7 linked regions of the Oryctolagus cuniculus genome follow. The protein of the gene in region 5 purifies or fractionates together with the protein of the main gene of each other region. This does not show direct contact. Links are inferred from orthologs where the notes say so. Each region holds a gene or a part of one and is shown on either strand. Other genes may lie near its edges.

Region 1 (3,994 bases), on a different chromosome or scaffold from region 5:
GGGCTCACTATGGCAGCCACGAGGATGGTGACTAGCGTGGAGGAGGGGCAAGTGCATCTAAGCAAAGAACTAAACAGGAGCAAAAGCCGGCGTCAGCTAGGAGCGTGTCTCCTAACCGGGGTCTGCCCTCCACTGGGACCAACATTCTCGAAAAGCTAATCCCTCCCACCACCTTCGTGGTAGCCACACAGACAAAACTTCTCTGCTGTCTGGTCCACTGGGAATGTAAGATTTCCTAAACAAGTGTAAGGGTCAGAGTTCCTGAATGAAGGCTCAATTAAGAGCCAAGAGCACAAACGTGTTTCATGCGGCGGCGCTGTCACACTCAACGTCAGAAATGGACGCTAAAACCTGGTCCTAAGGCTGAGTGGGCGCTCAACAGGTGAGAAACCGATCGAGACCTAAAGCGTGGAGACGTGAAAAGGGAACGTGGAAGGCTTAGAAGAACCAAAAAGAGCAAGGCACGTACGGAGGAAAAGTGCGGCCCGGGGCCTGCCAGGTGAGAGAGGAACCACCCCTCCCAACCCTGACCACGGTATTGCAGCCTTAGTGTCCTCGCTGGAAGCCTCTCAAAAGGCTCTCTACCTCTGAGCTCCCTCTCGTTCCCGCCACTCTTCCCTTACCTCGTCTTCCAGCCTTTCCCTGACTCTCCCGCCTCCTCCGCCCCGCCGGAAGTGACGCGCTAACTAGCGCGCCGTACCGCGCCAGAAAGGTTCTGCGGAGAGGGAGAAAAGGTTCCGGTGAGACTCACTGCGCAGGCGTGTGGGCTCTGGCGGTCAAAGCGCCTTCCGGGGGCCGAGGAACTGCGCTGCCTGTCTTGGCCCGTCTGCTTTGAAGTTCTCTGTGCGAAGTTCCGAGAGGCAGCGATCTCCTAAGGAACGTTTTTCTGCAGCTCCGACGCCGGTCGGTGCCCCAGCCTCTCCAGCCCTTGCCCTTTGACCCCGCTCGCGCGGCGGGGTGAGAGGTCGGGTGGCCATCTTGTGGCGGCGGCGCGGGCGGCTGTTACTGCGGAGACCCATCCCACCCCCGCCCCCACCCCCACCCCCACTCCCGCTCCCGCCTCGGCACTCCGGGCCGGGTGTCAGCCGGTAAAGCGGCCCGCAGTCTGGCAGCTGAGGCCCGCGCCGCGTGCCGTCGCTCTTCTCGCCGCACTGGGCGGCCCAGGCCGCTCGCTGCCGGGCCTCCGCCGCCACCATGTCCTCCTTCTCCGAGTCGGCGCTGGAGAAGAAGCTCTCGGAGCTGAGCAACTCTCAGCAGAGCGTGCAGACCTTGTCCCTGTGGCTCATCCACCACCGCAAGCACGCGGGACCCATCGTCTCCGTGTGGCACCGCGAGCTCCGCAAAGGTAGGCGCCCCCTTCCCCGCCCCCTCGGCCCTCGCGAGGGTCGTCCTGTCTCTCCATCCACCTGCCCCCGCTCCGGCCCCTTTAGCTTCCTCATCGGCCCTTGCTTTTCCAGGCCTGGGCCTCTCTCTGATCGCCCTTCTGAGACCAGGGACAGTATTGTCCCGGTTTCTGGAAGAATGCAGCAGGGCCTGGGAAGGTTTAAGGTTCCTAGCTGAGGTTTCGTGGAGCAGAGCTTAGGTGCAAAGATTTGCAGTTTTCCTCCTGACACTTAATGCCCGTCGGTATCTCGGCTGCAACGCTCGGCGGAGGATGAAGGGAACTGGCTCTGGTCTGTTGGCGGCCAGGCCCGGCCTGTGCTGGGCATCGGGACTAGAAGCTGGAGAGCTGTGCAGTCAGGCTGCCTAGATCCAACCCTGCCTGATGCCGGGTGAGTTTCCTTGTTTCCCATGAGGGAGACAAGGGCAGCTGCCACTTCACAAAGCCTTTGCTCCATGCCAGGCACTGAACTGAGGCCTTTGTCTGTATTCTCGGGCTGAGCGGCCTGTGAACTGGGTAGCCTCCCTCTTAGAGAAGTCGAGGGGCCGTTCCTCCTCGGCTACGCTGCCTGTGCAGCTGCCCTGGGATCCAGGGCCTGGCACGTGCACGGAGTTGAGCTGCCTCTTGCCAGGCACTGAGTTGGACATGCGACAGCATGGGACTGGCACCTGCTGACCCCAGCGGCTTCACCTGTCTGGAAGGCAGAGGTGGTGATAACAGAATTCCTCTGCCTGTCAGGAATGGGCTCCCACGTGCGGTGTCCTGGGGAGTTCTAGAACAGAAGAGAGGCCGCTCGGAGCTGTGCTGGACCCCTGTGTGCAGTAGCCGTCCGTGGCACAGGAAGTGACTGTGTTCTCTGCCACCCTCTTTTATAGATGAGGACACTGAAGTAGCTAAGTGATATTTTCAAGGTCTTTGAACGGAGACGGCTCAGACTCTTAGCAGGCTGGCAGACGCCAAACTCCTGGGCTTTTTCAGGAGACAGTCTCAGTGCTCCAGCGGCACCTCCAAATGTGGGCTGCAGTGTGTGTGGGGGGTCCTCTCAGCCTCTTGGGCAGCTGGTGCAGAGAGCCTGGAGCTCCCAGAGCCTCCTTCGTGCACCCCACTGTGCCATCCGAAGACTATTTGTAACATCTGAGATATGGAAAGAGGGGGAACCACCTCCATCCTGAGTCCTGCTGGGTAGGATCTCCTTGATATTACTTTTGTGAAAACTAATTGATTCCTCACTGTACTTATTTGACTTACTGAAAAAATGACAATTTAGAAGATGCATGGGTTTAAGAAGTTATGAAACTCCTTTATCTCTCGTCACACAGGCTAGAGCTCTGTGTTGTAGATAGGCTGGCATTATTATCCCCATTTTATAGGGTAGAAGGTTAAGATACTGGGAGAGTCAGTGCCTTGTTCAGAGGCGGCGTATACCTGGACGTGAGCTCAGGATGGTCTGATGCCAAAACTTGTACTTTTCAAGTCCCCAGTGCCTGGGTGCCCTTACTAAGGAGGCAGTCATCTGGTTCTTCCATTTAGTAGAATCAGTCATCGCCTCCACCCCATCACTTGGTTGTGTCTTTTCCGTCAGATTGTGTTTGGGGCAGAAATTAAACTTTCTTGTTTCTCTGTAATGCTGCATCATTTAGCAAGGTGCCTGCCTGTCACACAGTTAAAGAACAGCTTAAGTGTTAAATTGTGGTCCCTGATACCATTTTGAGTAAAGGATCCAAACAGCACTGACCAATACAATTTTCTGTGACTGTAGCAGTGTTTTATATCTGCCCTGTCTAGCAAGGTACCTGGTTGTCACATGGCTGTTGAACATTAAAATGTGTGACTAGGGAGTCAATGTGTGGTGTGGTGGGTTAAGCTGTCACTTGCGACACCAGCATCCCATATTGGAGTGCAAGTTTGAATCCCAGCTACTCTGCTTCTGATCCAGCTTCCTGCTAATGTGCCTGTCAAGGCAGTGAGTGATGGCCCAAGTACTTGCGCCCCTACAACTCACATAGGAGACCTGGGTGGAGTTCCTGGCTTCAGGCTGGCCCAGCCCTGGCTGTTGTCATTTGGGGGATGAACCAGTGAATGGAAGAGTGTGTGTATGTGTGTGTCTGTCACTATGCCATTCTAATAAATAAATAAATAAATAAATTTTTAGAAAGTGTGACTAAGGAACTAAGCTTTAAATAAACCGAGTTGAGAACTCAGCCCCAAGTTTTGGTAGCCAAAATTCAGGTGTTCAGTAGCCATATGTGGTTGTTACTGACACTGTATGGAGACCGTGCAGAGCTAGCAGACATCAGGATGCAGCTGTCTGATGGCCAGGCTTCCTTCATGAGCTGAAAATGCAACCCACACTAAAGTAGGAAAAGAATTTGTGCCCACATGTTCAAATCCACTGGTCCCTTGGGTTCTAACCCACCTTGCGTCCTTAAGTGTGAATGTTGCTGTCTGTGGTCAAGTCATTTTCCCCACAACGATGTTTGACGTTCACATACTGTCTCTTGAATTGTCTTGAAAATCTTTACAAGATTTACAAACAATTACTTTTTTTGGATTAAAATACTACTTCTATTTTTTGATACATTTGATCTTCCTTTTATTTCTAAACTTTGTCTT
Region 2 (4,039 bases), on a different chromosome or scaffold from region 5:
AAATGCTGGCAAAAGCAAGGACTAGGCCAGGCTGAAATAAGGAGTCCAGAACTTCATCTGAGTCTCTTACATATTTTACGGGACCCAACTATGTCAGTCATCATCTGCTGCCTCCCAGGGTATGCATTATCAGAAACCTGGATCCAAAGTGAAGGAGCTGGGACTCGAACCAGGCACTCCACCAACATGTGATGCTAGTGTTCCAAGCAGGGACTTAACCACGGTTTAATTCTATTTTCCCACAAACTTTTAAAAGAACTCTCATGTCAAAACAAAACAAAACAAAACAAAAAAAAAAAAAAACAAAAAAACTCAATGTTCCTTTTACAGTCACTTTTTCCTGAAGGCAAAGAAAAGCTTAACAAACAGGTTTGAGAATTTGGAAAGGACAACCGAACTTTTACACGCAAATTACTTGGGAAGACTTCACAAGTAAGGGTAAGGACTCTAGGCTCTAGATATGGGAATAGCATTTGGGGGTGCGAGCATCTGAATTCTCCTCTGGGCTCAGGCCAGGACTTGCTGGGTTAGATGCTAAAGATGCAAAATACAGGCATTCAATCACTTGAGTGCATACAAAGAAAAAGCTTGCCCATTTAATTAAACACACGGGATTATTCCTAAGTACAAAATAGCAGATCTTTTGCAAACGACTCAGGGACCCTCCATTTGACTAATAAAATGAGATGCTTACACATAGTATTGCCAATCTCTGCTTAGCTCCAGTCATAGATTGTGGGCCACAGAGCTGCAATCCTCAAAGAGGAATTCTAGAAAAATGCGTCTCCATTAAAAAGTTTTTAAATGCTCATACTCGTTCCCATCACCGGGAGTGAAACGCGAACCTCTCGGGTGAAGTCAAGATGTGACTTGCCTGTCCGCCTCCCAGGCTCTGCCTTTTAAATACTAAACGCTTCATTCCCTAGCTCTACCTCCACCTGTGCGTTCTACCTCCCCTGGAAACCGCCAAATCCACAAAAGCCGCGAACAGTCCCCACAGGCTCCACGCGCTGCTTGTGCAGTTTCCAATAGGCTAGTTCATTGCCAAAGGATCTCTGCTCCCACGCCCTACAGTCCTACCTGATCTCCTTTGATTCAGTAAAGCCCTGACCTTCTCTTTTTCCCCTTGGCGGGTCTTACTTCCTTTCAGGACCGCCCCTCCCCACCTGCTTATTTGGTTGGTCAGCGCGCTTGTTATACGTCATTCACCCGCGCCACCCGGAAGCCGCGGTTATACCAACCCGTTCTTATCGCCGGCGGCCCTCAGGTAAGGGCCGCATTTTGGTATCCCTGGGTGGCCGAGTCCTAGAGTTGGGAAGGGCAGAAGGCGGAACCCCCAGCAGGACCCGAACGTGCCCATTTCCCAACGTTGAGAGGGTGGAGATGACCTGCATGAGTCCATACTGAAGTGGTCAACGTGGTCTTCCCTCTGCTCATTCCCCAGGAGCCCATAATGGAGACGCCCCCTAAAGGGCGGGTGGTTGAGGCCACGGGAGAGAAAGTTCTGCGCTATGAGGCCTTCATCAGTGACGTGCTGCAGCGGGACTTGCGGTGAGTGACAGCGAGAGGGGCGGGGCCTTCAGAATAGTCCACGTGGTGGGTGGGGCGTTTAAAGTCGGGGGCCAAGCCTTCAGATTGGTGGGCGAGACGTTCGGAGCCCGTCACCACGCGCCATTCGAAGGGGAAAGGAGGAGCGACTTCCGGGGTGCGATTTGGCTAGGACGTGGCGTTCATAGGGCGTGTCTGCGCATGCGCGGTCCCGATGTTGCTTAATGGATTAAGGGCCAAATTCCAGATCCACAGTTCTGGGGTTTGAGTTCTGGCTCGGCTACCTGCCATCCGTGTAAACATCGCACCTTGCCCCTCCTTTCTGTGCCTTATAAATTTCTCAAATCAGTAAAATGAGGAAGTTTATTACGGAACCTTATTCATGCAGTGGTTGAGTTTAAAAAAGTGTGATGCCTGAAATATGTTAAAGGTTCAAGGAATGTGAAAAGCTATTATTACTAATCTGAGCAGGAAGTAAGGCTTAGACTATGAGCATCCCGAAAGGGGTGGAGGATTTTTCTAGGGTGAAGATGAGACATAGAGATTGACATTTGGGAGTAAAGTGTAATAATAGTAAGAGCTAACACGTATATAAAGCTTATCATTTGGAAGACATCATTCTAAGTGTCTTATAGTAAACATTCATTTAATCCCAGTGCCTCCGTGAGGTTAGAATGCCACTCCTATTTTGTAGATGAGAAAACTGCATATAGAACAGTTTACTTAGTGAAGTCACACCACTAGCAAAGGGTAGAACCCAGATTCAAACCCAGGCAGTCTGACCCAGTGTCCAGAATTTTAACTTCTACACTAAAAGGCCTACTTAGAGCATGGTAACTGGAGCACCTCAAAGAATCATGGTATAAGGTTTCCCAAGGAGGACAAAGCTGCCTGTTGGTCACCATTTGTACTTTTGTCCCATCAGAAAGGTGCTGGACCATCGAGACAAGGTATATGAGCAGCTGGCCAAATACCTTCAGCTAAGAAATGTCATTGAACGACTCCAGGTAGATATATCATGGTTGGGTACTGTTTTTTTTTTTTTTTTTCATTTGGTTTTGGTATGTGTGTGATGGGGGGAGCATGGGAAGGAACTGAGAAGAGAGACCCTAGACCAAAACCTGTCACCTGACCTACAAATTGACCACTGACCCCTACCTCTTTTTCCCTGGCCCCACAGGAAGCTAAGCAATCGGAGTTATATATGCAGGTGGATTTGGGCTGTAACTTCTTCGTTGACACAGTGGTGTGAGTGTCTACCCGCCCTTCTGAGCCCTTCCTTCATGCAAGATATTTTTTTTTTACCATCTTCTATGTACCAAACACTGTGCTAGATTTTACATACCTTAGGACATAACCTAAGTACTGGGAATATGACAAGAAATAAAATAGAATAAAGTCCCTGTCTTCCCAGAGTCTCAATTTGGGGAAGGGGAGGGAGTAAAAAATTAACTAAACTGTATGGTATGATAAACAGTAATAAGGATGTCTTCCACTTCCTCTAACCTCTCTCTCCTCAGCTCAGATACTTCACGCATCTATGTGGCCCTGGGATATGGTTTTTTCCTGGAATTAACACTGGCAGAAGCTCTCAAGTTCATTGATCGTAAGAGCTCACTCCTCACACAGTAAGTGCATTCTTGAAGGTAGTATCTAAAACACCCCACCATTTTTTTAAAGAATTTATTTATTTTATTTGAGAAGTAGAGTTACAGACAGTGAGAGGGAGAGATAGGGAGAAAGGTCTTCCTTCTGTTGGTTCACTCCCCAGATGGCTGCAACTGCTGGAGCTGCGCAGATCCAAAGCCAGAAACCAGGTGCTTCTTCCAGGTCTCCCACGTGGGTGCAGGGGCCCAAGCACTTGGGCCATCTTCTATTGCTTTCCCAGGCTATAGCAGAGAGCTGGATTGGAAGTGGAGCAACCGGGACTAGAACTGGTGCCTATATAAGATGCCGGCGCCACAGGTGGAGGATTGACCTGTGCCATTGCATTGGCCCCAACACCCCACCATTTTCAACACTCTTCTCCCTTAAGTTAGAGACCTACCTCCGTTCCTCCTCTGGGCTGTAGCTGAGGAAAGGGGATGCAAAGTTCAGCCCCAGGTATAGCACATAATAAACACTCCAGTAAGGGAGCTTTGTATCATTCATTCACACAAACATATTGGGCATCTTCTGTTTACCACACTCTGTGCTTGACAGTGGAGATGCCCCAGGGAACAAGACAGAAGAGTTTCTTGAGAGCTTACATTCTAGAGGGACTGTATTATTAGACCTAAATACAACTATGACCGGATCCATGAGGCCTCAGCCTGTAAATCAGTAACAGTAAAACAGGTTACCTCTAATTTAACATGTTCATTTTCCTGCTCATTGCTGTGCTCTTGCCACAGTGACTTGCACATGCTGCTTTAAATGTCCCAAGAATGCTCTCACCTCAGGGCAGATGCCATGGCTGTTTTCTCTGCTTGCAGTGCTCTTTCCCCAGTAC
Region 3 (3,500 bases), on a different chromosome or scaffold from region 5:
GCTGCTCTACTTCCAATCCAGCTCTCTCCTATATGGCTGAAACACAGAAGGAGGAACTTAAAGTCTCAATGCCTACTTAACTGAAGGTTCAAAATGAGGGGTAGTATTGTGACACAGTGGGTTAAGCAGCTGCCTCCAACACCAGAATACCCTATCAGAGCAGTGCTCTACTTCCAATCCAGCTTTCTGCTAATGAGCCTGAGAAGGCAGTGGAAGATGGCTCAGGAACTTGGATCCCTGCCAACATGATAGACCAGGATGGAGATTCCTGGCTCCTGGCTTCGGCCTAGCTCAGCTCTAGCTGTTGCAGTTATTTGAGGAGTGAAGCACTGAATATGTTGCTTTCTCCCCTTCTCTCTCTCTGTGTCACCCTGCCTTTCAAATAAATAAATCTTTTTTTTTTAATTGTTTGGAGTATCTTTTAGAGTTCACTGAATGGTTAAGAAACACCATATAGGGGCCGGCACTGTGGCACAGTGGGTAAAGCCCTGGCCTGAAGCGCCAGCATACCATATGGGCGCCAGTTCTAGTCTCAGCTACTCCTCTTCCTATCCAGCTCTCTGCTATGGCTTGGGATAGCAGAAGATGGTCCAAGTCCTTAGGCCCCTGCACCCACGTGGGAGACTCAGAAGAAGCTCCTGGCTCCCAGCTTTGGATTGGTGCAGCTCTGGCCGTTGCGGCCATCTGGGGAGTGAACCAGCAGATGGAAGACCTCTCTATCTGCCTCTACCTCTCTCTGTAACTGTCTTTCAAATAAATAAAATAAATCTTAAAAAAAAAAAAAAAAAAACATATAAATCTGAGCAGATAAAGGGAGTTAAGATAATGATTGCGATTTATCTTATTTTTCCACAGATAGAATTGCCTGGCTTTTCAGAGTTACACAGAACTGTATAAAAACACAGTTGTCACTTACATTCATTTTTATGTGTTTAACAGCAAAAATATTTGAAGGAACATTGTTTATCTCTAAAAATGAATTTTTTTTAAGTGAACTCCTATAACATAGCAAACATCACATAGTAACAAATATTTATGTAGCTTCTTTCTGGCATCCAGAATTGTAATTTAAAAATCAATTTATAGAACTTAAACACTGAAATTAATAAAGCTTGGAAGTCATTCAAAGTAAAAGTAGGGGCTGGCACAGCGGCACAGTATAAGGTTAATCCTCCACCTGCAGCACCCACATCCCATATGGGCGCCAGTTCAAGTCCCAGTTGCTCCTCTTCCAATACAGCTCTCTGCTATAGCCTGGGAAAGCAGCAGATGGCCCAAGTGTTTGGGCCGCTGCACCCACATTGGAGACATAGAAGAAGCTCCTGGCTCCTGGCTTCAAATCGGCTCAGTGCCGGCTGTTGCAGCCATTTGGGGAGTGAACCAGTGGATGGAAGACCTTTCTCTCTTGTTTCTCCCTCTGACTGTCTATAACTCTACCTCTCAAATAAATAAATAAATAAATAAAATCTTTTTAAAAAAGTAAAAGTAAGGCAATTCTTAAAGATAAAAACTTGTACCTGGGGTGGTTCACTTGGTGACCCCAGAGATGAACAGTTTTCATTTTCATCCACCTTTATCTGTTCATAAGTTCGCTTTCTAGGCTTCTTATCACCATCTGAATTGGAAGAACATTTAAGTTTTAATGAAGAATACATGTACTAAGTAGAGCTCATGATAAGTGATCAAAATTATATACTCACACAGAGCTTGTTTAAGTTGTTCTAATACATCGTTTTCATAAACAGACCTTTCTTCCCAAATAGATAACACTCTTCCGAGGTGCTTCTTACAACTTTCATCAGTTTCACTAAAGGAAAAAAAAATACATATATTAACCTCAGTGATCAAGATATACTCCCAGACTCCTTTAAAAAGCTTTTAACCATTTATGAAAGAAAAATTGCAGATACAATGCTAAAGGTTTTGTTTTTTTTATTTTTTTATTTTTATTTATTTATTATTTATTTATTTATTTATTTTTTTGACAGGCAGAGTGGACAGTGAGAAAGAGAGAGAGAGAGAAAGGTTTTCCTTTGCCATTGGTTCACCCTCCAATGGCCGCCGCGGCCGGCGCACTGCGGCCGGCGCACCGCGCTGATCCGATGGCAGGAGCCAGGAGCCAGGAGCCAGGTGCTTTTCCTGGTCTCCCATGGGGTGCAGGGCCCAAGCACCTGGGCCATCCTCCACTGCACTCCCGGGCCACAGCAGAGGGCTGGCCTGGAAGAGGGGCAACCGGGACAGAATCCGGCGCCCCGACCGGGACTAGAACCCGGTGTGCCGGCGCCGCTAGGCGGAGGATTAGCCTAGTGAGCCGCGGCGCCGGCCTATTTATTTATTTTTTTGACAGGCAGAGTGGACAGTGAGAGAGAGAGACAGAGAGAAAGGTCTTCCTTTGCTGTTGGTTCACCCTCCAATGCCCACCGCGGCAGGCACGCTGTGGCCGGCACACCGCGCTCATCCGATGGCAGGAGCCAGGTACTTATCCTGGTCTCCCATGGGGTGCAGGGCCCAAGGACTTGGGCCATCCTCCACTTCACTCCCGGGCCACAGCAGAGAGCTGGCCTGGAAGAGGGGCAACCGGGACAGAATCCGGCGCCCCGACCGGGACTAGAACCCGGTGTGCCGGCGCCGCAAGGCGGAGGATTAGCCTAGTGAGCCGCGGCGCCGGCAATGCTAAAGTTTTAGTACTGGTCATTAGCGGTTACAAAGAAGATGTTCCTAACCTAATGCGGGCTAAGCAGGCTAAGAGAGATCCCCAGTTGGTGACTTTTCAAGTGACTCAGCAAGTATGTATTGATCAAGGAAAAGTCTTTGACACAGAGAACTGTTTTAAGTACCACAAGAGAGAACATGGTACAAAGGAGAGAGAGAGAGGCCCAGTCCATTTTAAGAGAGATCAGGAAGAATCCTTGAAGAACTGATACTTACACTGAGATCCCAACACTGGATATATAAAAACTGGAAACCATCTCTTCTTTATCATTAACACTATAGACTAAGATGTTATTAGCTCTTGCCTAGATTTTTGTTAAGTCTTGTCACTGATCTCTCAGCCTCTGCTCTCTCACTTGGGTCTCTAGAAAGCATCCTATTAATGTAAATCCGATCATACTGTTCTCAATCTTTCCAAGAGCTACCAATCATAACAATATTGAAATCAAACTCCCTACCCTGGGCCTTAAGGATATGCTCTGCTTCCTGGCAACCTCAGTCCACATTTCCTACTATCTTCTCCCAAACAGATCTTCTGGTTGATTTGCAAACATGCCCAGCACAGCTTTTGCAATGCATCTGTTAAGTATTCCCTCTTGCCTAGCATCTTCTCCTCTTACAAATGGTTCATTTCATCTCTCACTTGAGTTTCTGTTCAAATGATACCTCCTACAAAAGTCTTTCTTTACCTCTCTTTACATATTCTTCATCTTTCTCTATATCTTTATCATGTAACTTAGCTCCTTCATACCTTACAGGTCCTTCCATGCTTTATGTTTCTTTACAGC
Region 4 (3,500 bases), on a different chromosome or scaffold from region 5:
ACAAAGAAAGGTCTTCCATCTGCTGGTTCAGTTCTCAAGTGGTCGCCTCGGCCAGAGCTGAGGTGATCCGGAGCCAGGAGCTTCTTCCGGGTCTCCCACACAGGTGAAGGGACCCAAGAACTTGGGCCAACCTCCACTGCTCTCCCAGGCCACAAGCAGAGAGCTGGATTAGAAGAGGAGCAGCTAGGACTCCAACCGGCACCCCATATGGGATGCTGGTGCCGCAGGTAGATCTTGGCTTACTATGCCACAGCACCAACCCCTCTTTAAGTTTTATAGGCCTTAGGGCCAGTGCTGTGGCAGTGGGTTAAAGCCCTGGCCTAAAGTGCCGGCATCCCATATGGGTGCCAGTTCTAGTCCTGGCTGCTGCTCTTCTGATCCAGCTCTCTGCTATGGCCTGGGATAGCAGTAGAAGATGACCCAAGTCCTTGGGCCCCTGCACCCACGTGGGAGACCCAGAAGAAGCTCCTGGCGCCTAGCTCCGGATTGGCACAGCTCTGGCCATTGTGGCCATCTAGGGAGTGAACCAGTGAATGGAAGACCTCTCTGTCTCTACCTCTCCCTGTAACTCTTTCAAATAAATAAAATAAATCTTTAAAAAAAAAAGTTTTATAGGCCTCAAAAATTACTGGTAACACTTATTAAGTACTTCTTGAATAAATGGGCCAAAGAATGTAAAAATCATGAAGAGAATACTGAGCGGTCAACATTTGTATCTTAATGAGATTATTATATTGGTTCTTGTTTTTCCAGGAATTCCATTGTTTGAAACTCAGCCAACCTATGCACCCCTGTATGAGCTGATCACTCAATTTGAGCTGTCAAAGGACCCTGATCCAGTACCTTTGAGTCACAACATGCGATTTTATGCTGTAAGTAATGCCCACTAAAGCTAGAATGTAATAGGTTTTATTTAGACCCAAGATGAGAAATTTTCTTCATAACATTATCGAGGTCAGATAACTTCCTTTTGGACTGTTGGATCATATTGTGTTTCCTCACTTACGCAAGAAATTACAGAAATCTCTGAAACCTATTGAGGAAAAAAGGCATGAGTTTTCAAGTCAGGAAGCAACAATGTTCAATTATTTGTTGAAATTTCATATGAAATTCTCTTAATGGCATTCTGAAATTGAGTAAGCTTAGAAGTATGTATTAAGTGTTCATACTATTGAATTCTTTGAAGTGCCATGAATGTATTCTGTGGAAACCTCCTTCAACTACATAAAGAGAAGAAAATGTATAAATTATGAAAGTTTCTAAAATCATGTTTGGGCTTGAATTAGAATTTTTAAAAATAATAGTTTCGCAATTCTGCATTATATGGAGTGTTTTATTAAAAAATACAGATTTTGTACTAACCATTTAGAAATGTTTTTAGTAAAGATTTCTGATGTAATTTTTTTATATTTTCATTCATAGAGAAGGCAGAGAGACAGACACATATTTCCCATCTGCTAGTTCATTCCCCAGCTCTCTGCCATAGTTGGAAAGAAGCCAGGAACCCAGAATTCAGTCTGGGTGTCCTGCATTGGTGGCAAGGACTCAACCACTTGACCCATTACTGCTGCTGCCTAAGGTGCCATTAGCAGAGCTGGAGTCTGCAGTGGAGCTGGGACTCAAACACGACACTTTGATACGGGATGCAGGCACCCATGCACCATCTTTACTGCTATACCAAATGCTTGCTGCCACGTTAGCTAATGAACCTAGTAGCATAGAGCTTTTACTAAATAGGGATCTTTCCAGAATAACGAGTAATTGGTTAGCATTTATAATACTAACTACTTGAAGAATTTACTGTGGGGTTTTATTGCTCCCCCAGATTTTGCTGTACTTTTTTTGAGGAGCAGGTTTCTTCCGGGACAGCTTGTGGTTGGAGCACAAAGGGAAAGTAAATAGTACTCACTGATGTTCTTTTTGCTCAGGCTCTTCCAGGTCAGCAGCACTGCTATTTCCTCAACAAGGATGCCCCTCTTCCCGATGGTCGAAGTCTGCAGGGAACTCTTGTTAGCAAAATCACCTTTCAGCATCCTGGTCGAGTTCCTCTTATCCTCAATATCATCAGACACCAAGTTGCCTATAATACCCTAATTGGAAGCTGTGTCAAAAGAACTATTCTGAAAGAAGGTACTGCCTTTCCTTTTGATATATTTAGTGAAAGATGGAAACTGACTACTCCAGTGGTTTTTCAAAATTTTTTTTTTGAGTTTTTTTTTTTTTTTTTTTTTGACAGGCAGAGTGGACAGTGAGAGAGAGAGACAGAGAGAAAGGTCTTCCTTTTGCCGTTGGTTCACCCTGCAATGGCCGCCGCGGCCGGCACACCGCGCTGATCCGATGGCAGGAGCCAGGTACTTATCCTGGTCTCCCATGGGGTGCAGGGCCCAAGGACTTGGGCCATCCTCCACTGCACTCCCTGGCCACAGCAGAGAGCTGGCCTGGAAGAGGGGCAACCGGGACAGAATCCGGCACCCCGACCGGGACTAGAACCCGGTGTGCCGGCACTGCAAGGTGGAGGATTAGCCTAGTGAGCCATGGCGCCGGCCCTTTTTTTGAGATTTTTATTATTTGAGAGGCAGAGTAACAGAGACAGAAAGGTATCTTCTGTTTGCTGGTTTGCTCACCAAATTGCCCTAACAGCCACGGCTAGGCCACACCCAAACCAAGAGTATAGAACTTCATCCAGGTCTTCCACTTGGATAGTAGAAGGCAAAGCACTTGGACCATTTTCCACTGCTTTTTTAGTTGAATTAGCAGGCAGATGGATCAAAAGTGGAGTAGCCAGGAATTGAACCCAGACTCTGAAATGAGATGTTGGTATCTCAAGCTGCTGCTGAATATACTGTGCCATAGTACCAGCCCCTCGAGTGGGTTTTGAATTTGGTGGCCCATGAAAATCACCTATGGAGTTTTTAAAACTCCAGGTGCATGAGTTTCACCCCAAGACGAACTGAATTAAGACTCTAGTGGAAAGATTAGCGAAGGCAATGTAACCACAAATTATTCTGATGAAATCATTGTGTAGATTGGCATTTGGGAGCCTCTTTTTTTTTCCTCCTTATTCTGGCATATTCTATGTGTTTTTTTGTTTGTTTTTGTAAATCTGAACTCAGTCCCAACACGGTTTGTCTCTCTCTTTTTAAGATTTATTTTATTTATTTGAAAGGCAGAGTTACAGAGAAAGGTAGAGACAGAGAGAAAAGTCTTCCATCCACCGGTTCACTCTCCAAATGGCTGCAATGGCCAGAGCTGGGATGATCCAAAGCCAGGAGCCAGGAGCTTCTGTGTTCTGCACGTGAGTGCAGGATCACAAGCACTTGGGCCATCCTCTGCTGCTTTCCCGGCCATAGCAGAGAGGTGGCTTGGAAATGGAGCAGCTGGAACTTGAACCGGTGTCCATTTGGGATGGGCTTTAACCCACTGAGCCACGGCACTGGCCCTCTGTATTTTAAGGTCAATCATGATAATCAGTTTCCTGGTTTATGAACACATTTTCTTTT
Region 5 (4,182 bases):
GAAGCTCCTGGCTCCTGGCTTCAGATCGGCGCAGCTCTGGCCATTGCAACCATCTGGGGCATAAACCATAGGATGGAAGACCCCTCTCCCTCCCTCCCTCTCTGTGTGACCCTGACTTTCAAATAAACGTTTTTAAAAATGTGCAAGTATTATGTGTCAATTAAAAATGTTAAGGGGCCAGCACCTGTAGTGTCAGCATCCCATATGGTTCGAGTCCCGGCTGCTCCACTTCCAATCCAGCTCTCTGCTATGGCCTGGGAAAGCAGTAGAAGGTGGCCCAAGTGCTTGGGCCCCTGCACCCACATGGGAGACCCGGAGGAAGCTCCTGGCTTCGGACTGGTGCGATTCTGGCCATTACAGCCAACTGGGGAGTGAACCAGCAGATGGAAGATCTCTCTCTGCCTCTCCTCTCTCAAGTAAATAAATAAATCTTTAAAAAAATAAAAATTTTAAAGCAGCGGAAGAGTCCATGGGAGCTGGTGCTGTGGTGCAGTGGGTTCAAGTCCCGGCTGCTCCACTTCCATCCAGCTCTCAGCTGGGGCATGGGAAAGCAGTGGAAGATGGCCCAAGTGCTAGCGCTCCTGCACCCGTGAGGCTCCTGGCTTCAGATCAGCCCAGCCCGGGCCATTGGGGCCATTTGGGGAGTGACCCAGCAGATGGAAGACCTCTCTCCCTCCCTCCCTCCCTCTCGGTCTTTCAAATTAAAAAGTCCATGGGAAAGGAAATACAAAAGGCGCTGTGTAGGCCGGCGCCGCGGCTCACTAGGCTAATCCTCCGCCTAGCAGCGCCGGCACACCGGGTTCTAGTCCCGGTTGGGGCGCCGGATTCTGTCCCGGTTGCCCCTCTTCCAGGCCAGCTCTCTGCTGTGGCCAGGGAGTGCAGTGGAGGATGGCCCAAGTGCTTGGGCCCTGCACCCCATGTGAGACCAGGAAAAGCACCTGGCTCCTGCCATCGGATCAGCGCGGTGCGCCGGCCGCAGCGCGCCGGCCGCGGCAGCCATTGGAGGGTGAACCAACGGCAAAGGAAGACCTTTCTCTCTGTCTCTCTCACTGTCCACTCTGCCTGTCAAAAAAAAAAAAAAAAAAGGCGCTGTGTAAACTAAAAACACGTTCATACCAGAAGCCACAGCGTGAGCACCTGTGATGGTAATGGGTGCTTCATAAACACGTTGCTGTGGCACAGGTAAAGCCACCTGCAGTGCCCGCATCCCACATGGGCGCCAGTTCGAGTCCCAGCTGCTCCACTTCCAATCCAACTCCCTGCTAATGCGCCTGGGAAAGCAGCGGAGGACGGCCCCAATGCTTGGGCTCCTGCACCCCCATGGGAGACCTGGAAGGAGCTCCTGGCTCCTGGCTTCAGATCGGCTCAGCTCCAGCTGTTGCGGCCACCTAGATAAGACCTAACTCTGCCTCTCAGATAAACTTAAAGAAAAAAAAAAAGGAGAAAGAAAGAGAGGCACAGAGAGGGACGCACACAGGTCTTCTCTCCGCTGGTTCACTCCACAGATGCCCGCCACAGCTGGGGCTAGGGAGACGCTGAAGCTAGGAGCCCACGAGAGAGCCAGGTCTCCCTGGGCCATCACCTGCGGCTTCCTGGGAGGTGGAGCAGCCAGGGCGGGAGCAGGCACTCCCCCCGCGCCACAGGCCCGCCCTGGGGGCTGCACGGCGCCCGGGGCGCCCGGGACCACCACGCCTGCTCCCCTGGTTGCTAGTCTGTGCCCAGGGAGGCTCGAGCGGCCGACAAGGGTCGCACCCCAGCCCCCGCACCCTAGGCTGCTCAGACTCGGAAGGCATTGCCCCCGCGAGAACCCACTTAACCTCTCCCTGTGCTTAACCACAGCGCGCGTGCAAGCAGCCCATTTTTCCAGGTGCGCACAGTGCGCCTCGGCCAGACCCAGCCCACACCACCGCCTCTTAGGATGACCAGGCGTTCCCGGAGCCAAGCCAGGGGCAGCTGATGGGACAAACAGGGCACACTCAGCGGCTACCACCTCTCATCACGAAGCCGCAGGCCCCAACCGCGCACCTGCGCCCTCGGCGCAGCCCCCGAACACCCTCCTCCTCGTTCAAGCTCCACCCGCGGCTGACCACGGAACGCACGCAATCCACGCCACAGCTTCCTAGACGCGCGCGAAACCCTCCCCAAGCGACTTCCCCACGAGCGAGACCCGCAACGCCTGCGCCCCTCGGTTTGGCCAAGCCACAAACACTCCTTCCCACGCGCAACCCCAAAGCCACGGTCCGCGCGCTCCCACGGGCGCCCGGCCAAGCCACGCGTCCGAGGACCACAGGGCGGGCAGGCGGGCGACCCGGGAGCCCGGCCCAGATGTGTGGCCGCCAGACCGCGGGCCCCGACAGGGCGGACCCGAGCTCCGGAGCCCTCGCGCAGGCCGCCGCGTGGAGGGAGGACGCGGGTGGCCGGCCGGACGCCACAGGGACGCCTGCCGGGGCCCCGCGGAACCACAGCACTCTGCAGCAGGACACTTTGCAAGTCCCCGCAAGTGCCGGCGTGCCCAGGGCACTGCCCCCCTGGGCGGACCCAGGCCGCTCGGACACTCGAACACTTCCGACCCCCGAGCCCGCAGGACACGCAGGAGCTGCGGGCCTCGGCCCGACCCTCCGCCGCCCCGCCGGGCTCCACTTACTTCTTCTCTCCCTCGAAGAGCAGAAACGACTCGAAGGCCGGAGGTGCGTTCATCCTGGCACCGCGGCCCGCCGGCGACTAAACGGCCGCCGCCACCGCCTCCAAACCCGACCGCGCGACTGCTTCCGGGTCACGCCGGCGGCGCCTACCGCGCCAGGACCGGCTCACTGCCCCCTAGCGGCGGGGAGGAGCTAGCGCAGGCGTGAGAAAAATTTTCCCCGATGCGCTCTGCGCGTGCGTCAGCCCGGAGGCCACGCCCCCGCCGCGCTCCACGCCTGGGCCAGGGGGCGCGGCTCTGGGGGTGCAGGCAGTCGGAGCGTTGCGCTGCCCGCTGGGTCCCGGCGAAGCGGGAAGCCGGAGCTACGCCTGTCTCCGCTGTCCATGCTTCTTGATCTCTTCTTTGGAAATGTGCCTTGGAATGCACCGCAGCAGGCCCCGGCACAGATACAGAGCCATGGGGTAGTAGGAGGCCGTGGCTGGGGGTCGAGGAAAGTCTTGTGGTCAGAGTGATAGGCGTGGACGGCCCCTCCAAGGCACCTGGCCAACAGCCACGAGGCCCTGGTCACCGGCGTCTTGTTGGCGGGGGCAGCTGGGTGAGCGCTGGGAGGAGCAAGTGCGACAGGTGTGACAGGGGGGTGGAGGGATACAGGTGCACCACCCCGCCTTGAGCTCCTGATTGGTGCCGAAGGCCCTCCCGGAGCTGTTCGGCCAACAGGGACTGGGGGCTCAGAGCAACCACAGGGACCCTGGTTGCAGCCTGGAGCCCCCACGGGAATCGCATCTCCCTGCGCGGGGGCGGAGGGGGGGACTTAGTACCTGGGAACTGCCGCTCTGCCCGGGGCCCGTGGGTAATGAGCCACGCCCTCTCGGCTCATCCTGAAGACTTTAGGACGCTGCCCTACGGAGACCTGGAGGTGACGCCTGGCCAGGGTCCAGAGCAGGGGATTCCCCCCCACCATCCTGGCCACCACCATGGACGGCTGCTCTCCTGGGGGAGTGCTGACCCCACTCGCCGGAGCGGCACACCCCCAGACTCTTCTGCAGGTCCATGTGGGGTGCCCCACGAGGGGATGGTGTGACCACAGCCTGGAATAGCTGGGCGAGGGGCACAACTACACAGTGGCCTGGGCCCCGGCATCCCGTATGGTCGCCGGCTCGTGTCCCGGCTGCTCCACTTCCAATCCAGCTCCCTGCTAATGCACCTGGGAAAGCAGTAGTAGATGGCCCAAGTGCTGGGGCCCCTGCACCCATGTGGGAGACCCGGATGAGGCTCCTGGGTCCTGGCTTCGTCCTGTTGCGGCCATCTGGGGCGTGAACCAGCAAATGCGCTCCGTCTCTCCTTCTAACTCCAACTTTCAAATAAATAAATCTTTATTTAAAAAAGAGAGATGCACATGGGCTAACAGGTGAGGAATGGATGGATGGATGGATGCACTGTGTTCTCCGTGCTGCTCTGGGAGGGAGGCTGAAGGCTGTGAGCACAGGGGGCGGGGTGGGGCAGGGAAAGGGGGTGTTGGGGTGAGGGAGCCGGCTGGCTGA
Region 6 (4,170 bases), on a different chromosome or scaffold from region 5:
GTGGACTCATGGGAACTCTGGGGAAGGTGCTTCCCCACTCTGCCCTCAGGTGTCTCCTCTCTAACTGGGATGCCCTTCAAGATAACCAAGGCCCATCACTGCTCTAACGTGGAAGAAAAGGAACTCAAAGGGGAGGCTTCTGGTTACACGGTGCAGCACCCAACACATCGTGTCTCCACTAGAACCAGCAAGGTCCAAACAAAGACTTGGGTAGGACGGCCAGGGACGGTGTCTCTTAGTAGGGGATACCTGAGCCTACGGGAACGTTTTGCCAACTCAGAGGAAGAGCATTTCTAGATGAGGGAACACCAAGGCCAATATACAGCCTGGAGGTGGGCTAGCAGTTTGCAACTTAAAAAAAAAAAAAAAAAGATTTTATTTTTTTATTTATTCATTTGGAAGGCAAAGTACCAGAGACAGGAAGAGAGAGAGAGAGGAAGAGAGAGAGAGAGAGAGAGAGAGAGAGAGAGAGGTCTTCTATTCACTGGTTTACTCCCCAGATGACTGCAATGGTCGAGGCTGGGCCAGGCTGAGGCCAGGAACCAGAACTCCACCCAGGTCTCCCATGTGGGTGGCAGGGACCCAGCTCCTCGGGCCCTCTTCCACTGCTTTCCCAAGCACATTAGCAGGGACCTGGATCAGAAGTGGAGCAGCCGGGACTGAACTGATGCTCATATGGGATTCTGGCATTGCAGATGGCAGCTTAACCTGCTACACCACCACACTGGCCCCTCAAATTCTGGTTCAGAGATTCCTTATCCCTTGTGTAGTCCTTACTACATCACATAAAAATCCTGCATCTACTTGTTTATCCCTCCCACCCTCTGTCAAAAGAAATAATTCCCATCATGCTCTCCCCTTAGTGCCTTCACACACACTGTTTTCTCTGCCTAGGAAGCCCTCTCCATACACCGCATTGTCTTCTCATTCCTTTTTTATTTATTTTAAATTTTAAGACGGAGGGAAGGAGGGAGGGAGGGAGAGAGAAAGATCTTAATCCAGATCTGCCACGCAGCTGGCAGGAACTCAGTTTCCCTTTTTTTTTTTTTTTTTTTTTAAGATTATTTATTTGACATGCAGAGTTGGAGGGAGAGGAGGAGAGACAGAGAGAGAGATCTTCCATCTGCTGATTCATTCCTCAAACGGCTGCACCAAAGCCAGGATTCTATCCAGGTCTCCCACGTGGGTGGCAGGGGCCAAACCACTGGGCCACTTCCTGGTGCTTTTCCAGATGCATTCGCAGGGAGCTGGAGCAGAAGTGGAGCAGCCGGGAACTGAACCAGTGCCCGTGAGATGCTGGTGTCACAGGTGGCAGCCCAACTTGCGGCACCGTGGTGCTGGACCCAGGAGCTGGCACCAGGCACTGAACCCAGACGTGCAGATGTGGGACACAGACCTCTTAACTGCTAGGCTAACAGCCAGTTCCCCATCCAGCTGTATCTTAACTGGCAGTCACCGTTCTTCCCAGCCAGGCTGTGCCCCTGGGCAGGAGACGGCCAAATCTCAGTCCCGTGTGGAACCTCCTGCATAGGAGGGGGCAGTGGCTCAGCAGGTGCTTCTGCTGAACACTGACGCCTCCTGACACCTCCACAAACTCCAGTGTTTCCCCAACTACGTTATTTGCTCAATATCTTCACTGGTTTTACAGTATTTGAGTGCTACTACCACCATGCCCTTAATATTTGTTGACAAAAAACATCATGGGGGTTGGCGCTGTGGTGTATCGGGTAAAGCCCCCGCCTGCAGGGCCGGCATCCCATATGGGTGCCGGTTCAAGTCCCGGCTGCTCCACTTCCAATCCAGCTCTCTCTGCTGTGGCCTGGGGAGCAGTGGGAGATGGCCCAAGTCCTTGGGCTCCTGCACCCACGTGGGAGACCTGGAAGAGGCTCCTGGCTCCTGGCTTTGGATTGGCTCAGCTCTGGCCATTGCAGCCAATTGGGGAGTGAACCAGCGGATGGAAGACCTCTCTCTCTCTGCCTCTCCTTCTCTCTAACTCTGACTCTGACTTTCAAATAAATAAAATAAGTCCTTTTTTTAAAAAATGGAGCTACGTTAGAAGCCAGCGTAGCTTCACCGCAGTGGAATCCAGAAGGGGAAGGGGGAATGTTCTGAGCATACGAGCCGATGTTCCGTAACGCGGGGTCCCACTGCCATCTAAAATCCCTTCAAATACCAGAAGTCCACGTCCCAGGCTTTGGGAAACACCCACAAAGACCCCACTTTAGTCTCCTGGGAGGGAGAAAGGACAGGATTCTGGAGTCAGAAAAACAAAACAAACCCGGATTCCAGTTCAGGTCCCGACTCGTACGCGCGCGACCTTCCCTAAACGGGAATAAGAAGACCCATCTCCTAGGGTTGGGCTACTCCAACCCGGGGCCTAAGCGTCCACCAACAACCGCCACGACCCCCTTGCAAGACGACAGGACCCCGAAGACCGAGAGCAGAAGCGAACGGCGCGGAGTCTCAAGGCCCTCGGTACACGCCCTTCTCTCAGGACCGAACCCTCGCCTCACACGGGTTACGATCTTTCTCTCCTTTCCCACCAAATCTCACCTTCCCGCTGCCGGCGGGGCCCATGACCAGCTGCGCGTAACGAGGCATGCCGACCCTCGGCTTCTCCAGGGCCGTACGGCACACTTCCCGCTTCAGCCTTGGCGCCACGCCCACCCACTTCCGGGAGCGCGAGGTGCGAACCAATCGCAACCGAAGCTCCTTATACATTTCCGGGTAAGTCACACCTCCGGCTACGGAACGTTCCGCGGGCCAAGTCCCGTGAGAAACGCGTCCGGGAGACACGGAAGGGGCGGGGAGGAGAGAGGTGGGAGGGAGGGAGGGAGAGAGTGAAGGAGGAGGTCTTGCGCGTGCGCAGAAGCGGCTGGCGGAAACCCGCGGTTGGGTAGCCGCCGGAGCCTGGTTGCCAGGGAGACAAAGGATAACGGCAAACGCTCAGCATCCCTGATTCTTGGTTTGCGCATTGGCGTTGGGCTCGGACGGTGCCACCCAAGCTTTGCAAATGTGCTGAGGGTCTGGAACCCTGAGGTGGAAGGCACCTCGTGTTCAGGGGAGCGTGTGCGTTTCGTTCCCGTGACGCGTCCCTTGCACAAAAAGATGCGAAAGCACAGACTCGCCACCAAGTAACGCACTCCCGCAGATCCGGGGTCGTGGGTCTCCTAGCCCTCCCAGCTTCCCGAGGTGTCGCCCCGACACCTCCCGCCTGACGCACGCGTGCAGAGGGGGCAGGGGCAGGGCCCGCTTCTCCCGCACGCAGCTCGCCGTCCGGGCGCCGGGGAGATGCCGGGCCGGGGGCCGGGGGCCGACTCTTCGGCCGAGCCGCCCGCGGTGGCCGGGACCGAGGGCGGCGGCGGCGGCGGCGGGTGAGGCCGGGGGCCCGGAGGGGCTGGGGGGACGGCGCCCAGCCCGGGGTCGTGAGCGCCCGGGAGGGCGGGGGCGGGCGGCGGCCGTGGCCGGGGGGGGGGGGACGCTCGGAGCCGAGTGCGAGGACTGCGTGGAGTTTTCGGGCCCCGCCGGGGACGCTTTGGCGTCGGCCCCCGGGGGTCGCCCAGAGGCGGAGGGCGGGCGGCGCCCCCGGGCCGCGCGGGGCCCTGTGTCTGAGGTTGGCTGAGGGGCTGTTAACGGCGGGGGCCACGGCCCTTGGCAGGGATCAGATCTGGGAACACGCGGTAGCAGGCGGGATGGAGGGCATTCGGTCTTAATTTGAAAAAAAGGAAAAAAACTGTACCAAATTACAACATTACAGGCCAAGGTATCCGTTCCCGCATCCCTTAATCACTGTTCAAAGGGCTGCCTTCAAAACCCCAGTTATTTTATTTAAAATAGAGTAAGAAAATACCATGGATTAATAACGCAGGAGCCCGAACCAGTTTTATTGAGCTCGCTGTAGGCATTAGATTGGGAAGCTATAAAGGTAAGACCAAATCTGGCCTAGAATAAATAAATACATACAGACAGACTGGAATACATCCTTTCTAGTATGGTGAAAAGCTCAGATAACACACTGCGAGAAAACTCGCAGCCATCAGGATTTAAGCAGAATTGCAGGTGATCTGCAAGACATACATGAAAAATAAAACGCATATGCAATAGTTACCGTTTGAAGTATGTTCTTAGTGCTTAAGAAGTTTGTCAATTATCATGTATTTCTCTTTTTTA
Region 7 (4,178 bases), on a different chromosome or scaffold from region 5:
TCAACCTTGGTACTACTCTTTAGAATCATCTGGCAGAAGTTTAAAAAACCATGATGTCCAGGCCATGCTCCAGTGTAGACATACCATAGTACCACCGTGAGACAGAATTCCTAGGGTTGTATCAAAGCAGGATACTTGAAAACACACACACCTAACAACAACAATACACACTCAGGTGATCCTGATGCACAAGAAAGGGTGAGAATCATGGAATCTGTATTTAATCTATATTTTTTCCATTGCATAACCACAGCCAAATGAGTTCTTGGAAGTGGTTTTGTAACTGTTTTATCAAATTTTTAGAATTTAGGAGAAGGAACTATCCTTCAGGTATCACTGGTCCATTTTTTAGCACACTACCTTGAAAAAATAAGTTCTTGATAGATAATGTATGGTAGAATAAAAGAAGATGCAGAGGATCCTGATGAAAATATAAAAAGTAGTGATTCCTGGCAATTAGACTATGATGGTATTTTCTATTTTCTTCTTTTTCCTATTCATATTTTCAATTAGCAATAATTGTGCCTCGGATAAACCTTATTGGCTACAATACTGCCACTGCGCAAAGCTCCTATTCATATTTTCTAAACGTTCTATCATGAACACATACCACCTTTGCTAAAAATTTTTTTTTCCTAGACTTCCACAAGTATCTCAAGAGACAAAGAGTACCATTTCACTCAATGGAATAAGTGCATTCCTTAAATGTGTACAAGTCATATATAAATGCTCTCTGGTTGAGGTTCAATTGGCATTTGCTACTAATACTTCACCTCTAAGTTTCTTTGCTATTTCAATGCTATACCAACTTAATTAATGATCAGTAAACCATTATGTAAATTTCTCAAGTTATATCCTATTTACAAACATACATCCATTCCTCCTTTTAATAAGTAATTTATTGAGTGGCTGCTCCTTACAAACCACACTCAAGAAAGGCACTGTCCTTACTCTCCAGGAGCTTACAATCTAGTGAGAGAAAAATGGAACCAACTGTATATTTCTGGTATAGATAGTAAGTCCTATAGGAATGCAATGTAAGGGAAAGTTGCTTTGTGTGAGGATCAAGAATTTCATACATCAGATAACCTGACCTGGATGTTACACTAGCAAAAGGTGACCATGACCTAAGTGATGAACAGCATAAGGAAAGGTGGAAAAGAGTAAACTATGTTTAGAAACTCTCCATAGAAGGCTTGGCTACCAAGTGAACAAGAAAACAGGCATCCAGGGGAACCTGCAGTGGGGGCGGCCCTTACATACCCGCCCAGGTAGGCTTGCTTACCCAACTGTCCTCAGGCTTCCTATCAGCAGAACCCCAACCTCCTGCGAGCTGACGCTCCCCACGGAGCTCTCAACATCACTGCCGGTTTAGCCCATCCCAGACCTGAACTCCTGATTCTAAATGACCATCGTTCTCAGGCAACCCACACCAGGACATTTACAAAGCTGTAAAGTTGTTACAATACTAGTTGTCATGCAATCTTTTCACCAGTCATCTTTACAAAATTTGTAAATCTGTTTGCCACACTCTGAGGCCCTGCACTGATGTTTCCTTTTCACGTCCCACGGACCTTGCAATGTCTGGTTTCTGCTTATCCCTCGTTTCCTAAGGAGCTAGCCTTTCTCCCATCACTAAGCTTCCCCCGGGGGGCTTCCTTTGGAAATAACATCTTCTAGTGCTAATCTGCCCTAGGAAGTTTCTGCTCATCCCAAATCTGTTTATACTCTCACAGTGTTGTGTTACGAGAACTCATTTCGGTTTGCATTAAGGCATCTTCGTTGGTTTGATTGTTTAACTATCTCTCCATGAGACTGGGGTCACCTGCCATGCGCATGCCTGCGAACAACAGGCCCTCAGCTGACGCATGTCCCATGAATCAATGTTAGGTTGTCTCCTCCAAGTATTTACAGGCATCCGGGCGCCTGCTTCTTCTCTACTTCCATGAAAAGCACTTTCTAACATGGGCCTATTAACAGACTCCAAAACCAACTAGGAACAGCCCCCAAAGGCCCCAGAAGGTAGACAGGTCACTTCCTAGAGACCTCGCGCTGGACTGCGCTGAGGGGGCAGGAGGAAGCGGGTCGGCAGGGCGCGATGAACTAGCCCGCCGAAGAGAATTCAAGACTAGAAAGCAAGTTTTTACGCCAGACGCATTCCTCAATCTGCGATCAGCTTCTCTGGTCCCACGAAGCTCGAGCTACGCTCTTGGGGAGACGCTGGACGAAGACTCTGGCCAAGACAGTTGCAGACCCCAGGATCCGCACTCGCCATCAACGGCAGTCCAGAACCTGGACCTGCGTCATCTCGACCCGGCACCCACCTCCCGAAGCAGCTTCAGGTCCCCGTGCTGGATCTCGTACAGCTGAATGACGCCGGTGCCCCGTGCGAAGTTGCCCACGGTCACAAACTTGGCGCTGCACGGCACCCACTTACAGTCAAACACTGTGTAGTTGAGGCTTTTCTGGATATGGGCGATGACCTGAGGCTTCTCGAAGGCCGACATGGTACAGCCGATTTCGCCTCCCGCAACCGCAAACACCAACCTGGAAACCAGACTCCAAACACAAATTAAGTTTGTCTCTCCCGCTAGCCGTACTCGGCCCCTTAACGCTCGAGCAACTTGGATTTAGTTATCTCCGACGTGCCGGATGCGATGCTGAGATTGCACAAGACGTTTCTTCACAGAAAGCTAAAATCTGATTATATCCCTTAAACGCAGTATTTAACACATACGTATTATCGATGATGAAACACTTTGGCTGTTAATGGAGCGGCCGGAGAGCGACCACAAGAATCAGGCATATCTTAAGACCGCCCACACGGGTATGATTCAGGTCCCCAGCGTGGGACTTCTAAGGAAAAGGGGCGGAGCCCTATGCTTGATTGGCGAAGCCCGGCTCCTGCGCGGTGCGCTTGCGCAATGCAGCCGTGCACGTGTTCGAAGTGGGAGCGCCGACCCTGCCCGGAGGTTCCCGGAGATGGAAGGCGAGATGGAGACACAGGGTTCTGGGTCCGAGGACGGCTTCACTCAAGTCACTCGCAAGGGTGGCCGGCGGGCGAAGAAACGGCAGGCTGAGCAGCTGTCCGCATCCGGGGAGGGCGGGGATGCGGGCCGCATGGACACCGAGGAGGCCCGGCCCGCCAAGAGGCCCGTCTTCCCGCCCATGTCCGGGGACGGACTCCTGGTACTGGCGGGGCCCCTGGGACAGGCACCGAGGCCGGGCAAGCCCGTGGCCTGGCGGCAGTGTTGAAGCCCCCCGGGGCGGGGGGAAGGGACTCGTCTTTACCGTGAGACTGTTCTGACGTTTCCTAAGTTAAGTTCAAGGAAAGTTGTTGAGGATCAGCTGTCACTTTACGACTCCACCCCCACCCTCCAGCCGTCTCCTCACTTGTGTGTGTGTGTTTACAGGGTGGGAAAGAAGAAACGAGGAAGATTCCAGTCCCAGCCAACAGGTACACCCCGCTGAAGGAAAACTGGATGAAGATATTCACTCCTATTGTAGAACACTTGGGCCTTCAGATTCGCTTTAACTTGAAATCAAGGAATGTGGAGATCAGGGTAAGAACGCCAACCTTTTCCCAATAGTCTGGATTTCCCTGCTACACGGTGAAAAGGCATGCAGAGACTTGCCTTAAGATCTTCCCAGGTGCCCTCGGAAGCTGCATTCCACACAGATAGCAGTAGAATTTTGTGTTTGTGTTGGACGGCGAGAAGGCTTGGTGAAGAGATTGTCATAGAAGTGTGTGAGTAGTGAACTTCAGCGCCTGCTGCCCTATAAACACTGTATATTTAATGAGATTCTTTTAGGGCAAATAAGTTTTTGTTTTGTTTTGTTTTGACTCCATGTTGTTAGTCCAGGATTTAGGCATTTGAAGCTAATTGATTTTGGGCTTCTTTTTCTATTTTACAAGAATCGATGTTCAAAAGTACTACTTTCCCTTTGTAAAGCTTTGTATACCATCATCAGAACGAGTATAGTTCCTCTCTGTTCCTGACCATGCTAATGACACAAAAGAAGCACTGTTCTATTGGTAAAATTTAAAATAGCGTGGGACGTGGCAGTAGAGCCCCGCTCTGCTTCCATTGCCACCTGATTCAGGCTTCTGTGGCTTCAGGCCTCATTTTCCAGACCACAATGCTGTTTTTTGTTTTTACAAACTTTTAAAACATTTT

Evidence for each region.
Region 1: the proteins of POLR2J (region 5) and RPRD1B purify together in Homo sapiens (affinity purification with mass spectrometry; 3 studies listed by BioGRID and IntAct, counting the BioPlex papers as one, with this or other methods). This does not show direct contact. The link is inferred for Oryctolagus cuniculus from reciprocal best matches to the Homo sapiens genes POLR2J and RPRD1B.
Region 2: the proteins of POLR2J (region 5) and UXT purify together in Homo sapiens (affinity purification with mass spectrometry; 3 studies listed by BioGRID and IntAct, with this or other methods). This does not show direct contact. The link is inferred for Oryctolagus cuniculus from reciprocal best matches to the Homo sapiens genes POLR2J and UXT.
Region 3: the proteins of POLR2J (region 5) and RPRD1A purify together in Homo sapiens (affinity purification with mass spectrometry; 3 studies listed by BioGRID and IntAct, with this or other methods). This does not show direct contact. The link is inferred for Oryctolagus cuniculus from reciprocal best matches to the Homo sapiens genes POLR2J and RPRD1A.
Region 4: the proteins of POLR2J (region 5) and MED1 purify together in Homo sapiens (affinity purification with mass spectrometry; 3 studies listed by BioGRID and IntAct, with this or other methods). This does not show direct contact. The link is inferred for Oryctolagus cuniculus from reciprocal best matches to the Homo sapiens genes POLR2J and MED1.
Region 6: the proteins of POLR2J (region 5) and GPN3 purify together in Homo sapiens (affinity purification with mass spectrometry; 4 studies listed by BioGRID and IntAct, with this or other methods). This does not show direct contact. The link is inferred for Oryctolagus cuniculus from reciprocal best matches to the Homo sapiens genes POLR2J and GPN3.
Region 7: the proteins of POLR2J (region 5) and DNAAF10 purify together in Homo sapiens (affinity purification with mass spectrometry; 3 studies listed by BioGRID and IntAct, with this or other methods). This does not show direct contact. The link is inferred for Oryctolagus cuniculus from reciprocal best matches to the Homo sapiens genes POLR2J and DNAAF10.

Annotation. Positions count from the first base shown.
Region 1 is NC_091442.1:20,660,731-20,664,724, reverse strand, and holds the start of RPRD1B (regulation of nuclear pre-mRNA domain-containing protein 1B), read left to right. Parts: upstream 1-1,194; coding exon 1,195-1,345; intron 1,346-3,994. UniProt on the Homo sapiens protein: Interacts with phosphorylated C-terminal heptapeptide repeat domain (CTD) of the largest RNA polymerase II subunit POLR2A, and participates in dephosphorylation of the CTD by RPAP2. Transcriptional regulator which enhances expression of CCND1.
Region 2 is NC_091453.1:33,164,717-33,168,755, reverse strand, and holds the start of UXT (protein UXT), read left to right. Parts: upstream 1-1,239; 5' UTR 1,240-1,267; exon of another isoform or gene 1,268-1,444; 5' UTR 1,445-1,453; coding exon 1,454-1,551; intron 1,552-2,473; coding exon 2,474-2,555; intron 2,556-2,728; coding exon 2,729-2,796; intron 2,797-3,068; coding exon 3,069-3,176; intron 3,177-4,039. UniProt on the Homo sapiens protein: Involved in gene transcription regulation. Acts in concert with the corepressor URI1 to regulate androgen receptor AR-mediated transcription. Together with URI1, associates with chromatin to the NKX3-1 promoter region.
Region 3 is NC_091441.1:41,651,602-41,655,101, reverse strand, and holds part of RPRD1A (regulation of nuclear pre-mRNA domain-containing protein 1A), read right to left. Parts: intron 1,808-3,500; coding exon 1,701-1,807; intron 1,616-1,700; coding exon 1,518-1,615; intron 1-1,517. UniProt on the Homo sapiens protein: Interacts with phosphorylated C-terminal heptapeptide repeat domain (CTD) of the largest RNA polymerase II subunit POLR2A, and participates in dephosphorylation of the CTD by RPAP2.
Region 4 is NC_091448.1:22,931,233-22,934,732, forward strand, and holds part of MED1 (mediator of RNA polymerase II transcription subunit 1), read left to right. Parts: intron 1-753; coding exon 754-872; intron 873-1,928; coding exon 1,929-2,130; intron 2,131-3,500. UniProt on the Homo sapiens protein: Component of the Mediator complex, a coactivator involved in the regulated transcription of nearly all RNA polymerase II-dependent genes.
Region 5 is NC_091450.1:44,084,269-44,088,450, forward strand, and holds the start of POLR2J (DNA-directed RNA polymerase II subunit RPB11-a), read right to left. Parts: upstream 2,801-4,182; 5' UTR 2,698-2,800; coding exon 2,645-2,697; intron 1-2,644. UniProt on the Homo sapiens protein: Core component of RNA polymerase II (Pol II), a DNA-dependent RNA polymerase which synthesizes mRNA precursors and many functional non-coding RNAs using the four ribonucleoside triphosphates as substrates.
Region 6 is NC_091452.1:8,131,416-8,135,585, forward strand, and holds the start of GPN3 (GPN-loop GTPase 3), read right to left. Parts: upstream 2,801-4,170; 5' UTR 2,722-2,800; coding exon 2,554-2,721; intron 1-2,553. Other genes in the region: protein FAM216A, read left to right, coding at 3,292-3,374. UniProt on the Homo sapiens protein: Small GTPase required for proper localization of RNA polymerase II (RNAPII). May act at an RNAP assembly step prior to nuclear import.
Region 7 is NC_091433.1:134,456,054-134,460,231, reverse strand, and holds the start of DNAAF10 (dynein axonemal assembly factor 10), read right to left. Parts: upstream 2,801-4,178; 5' UTR 2,508-2,800; coding exon 2,325-2,507; intron 1,762-2,324; exon of another isoform or gene 1,748-1,761; intron 571-1,747; exon of another isoform or gene 495-570; intron 1-494. Other genes in the region: RNA-binding protein PNO1, read left to right, coding at 2,983-3,189, 3,414-3,563. UniProt on the Homo sapiens protein: Key assembly factor specifically required for the stability of axonemal dynein heavy chains in cytoplasm.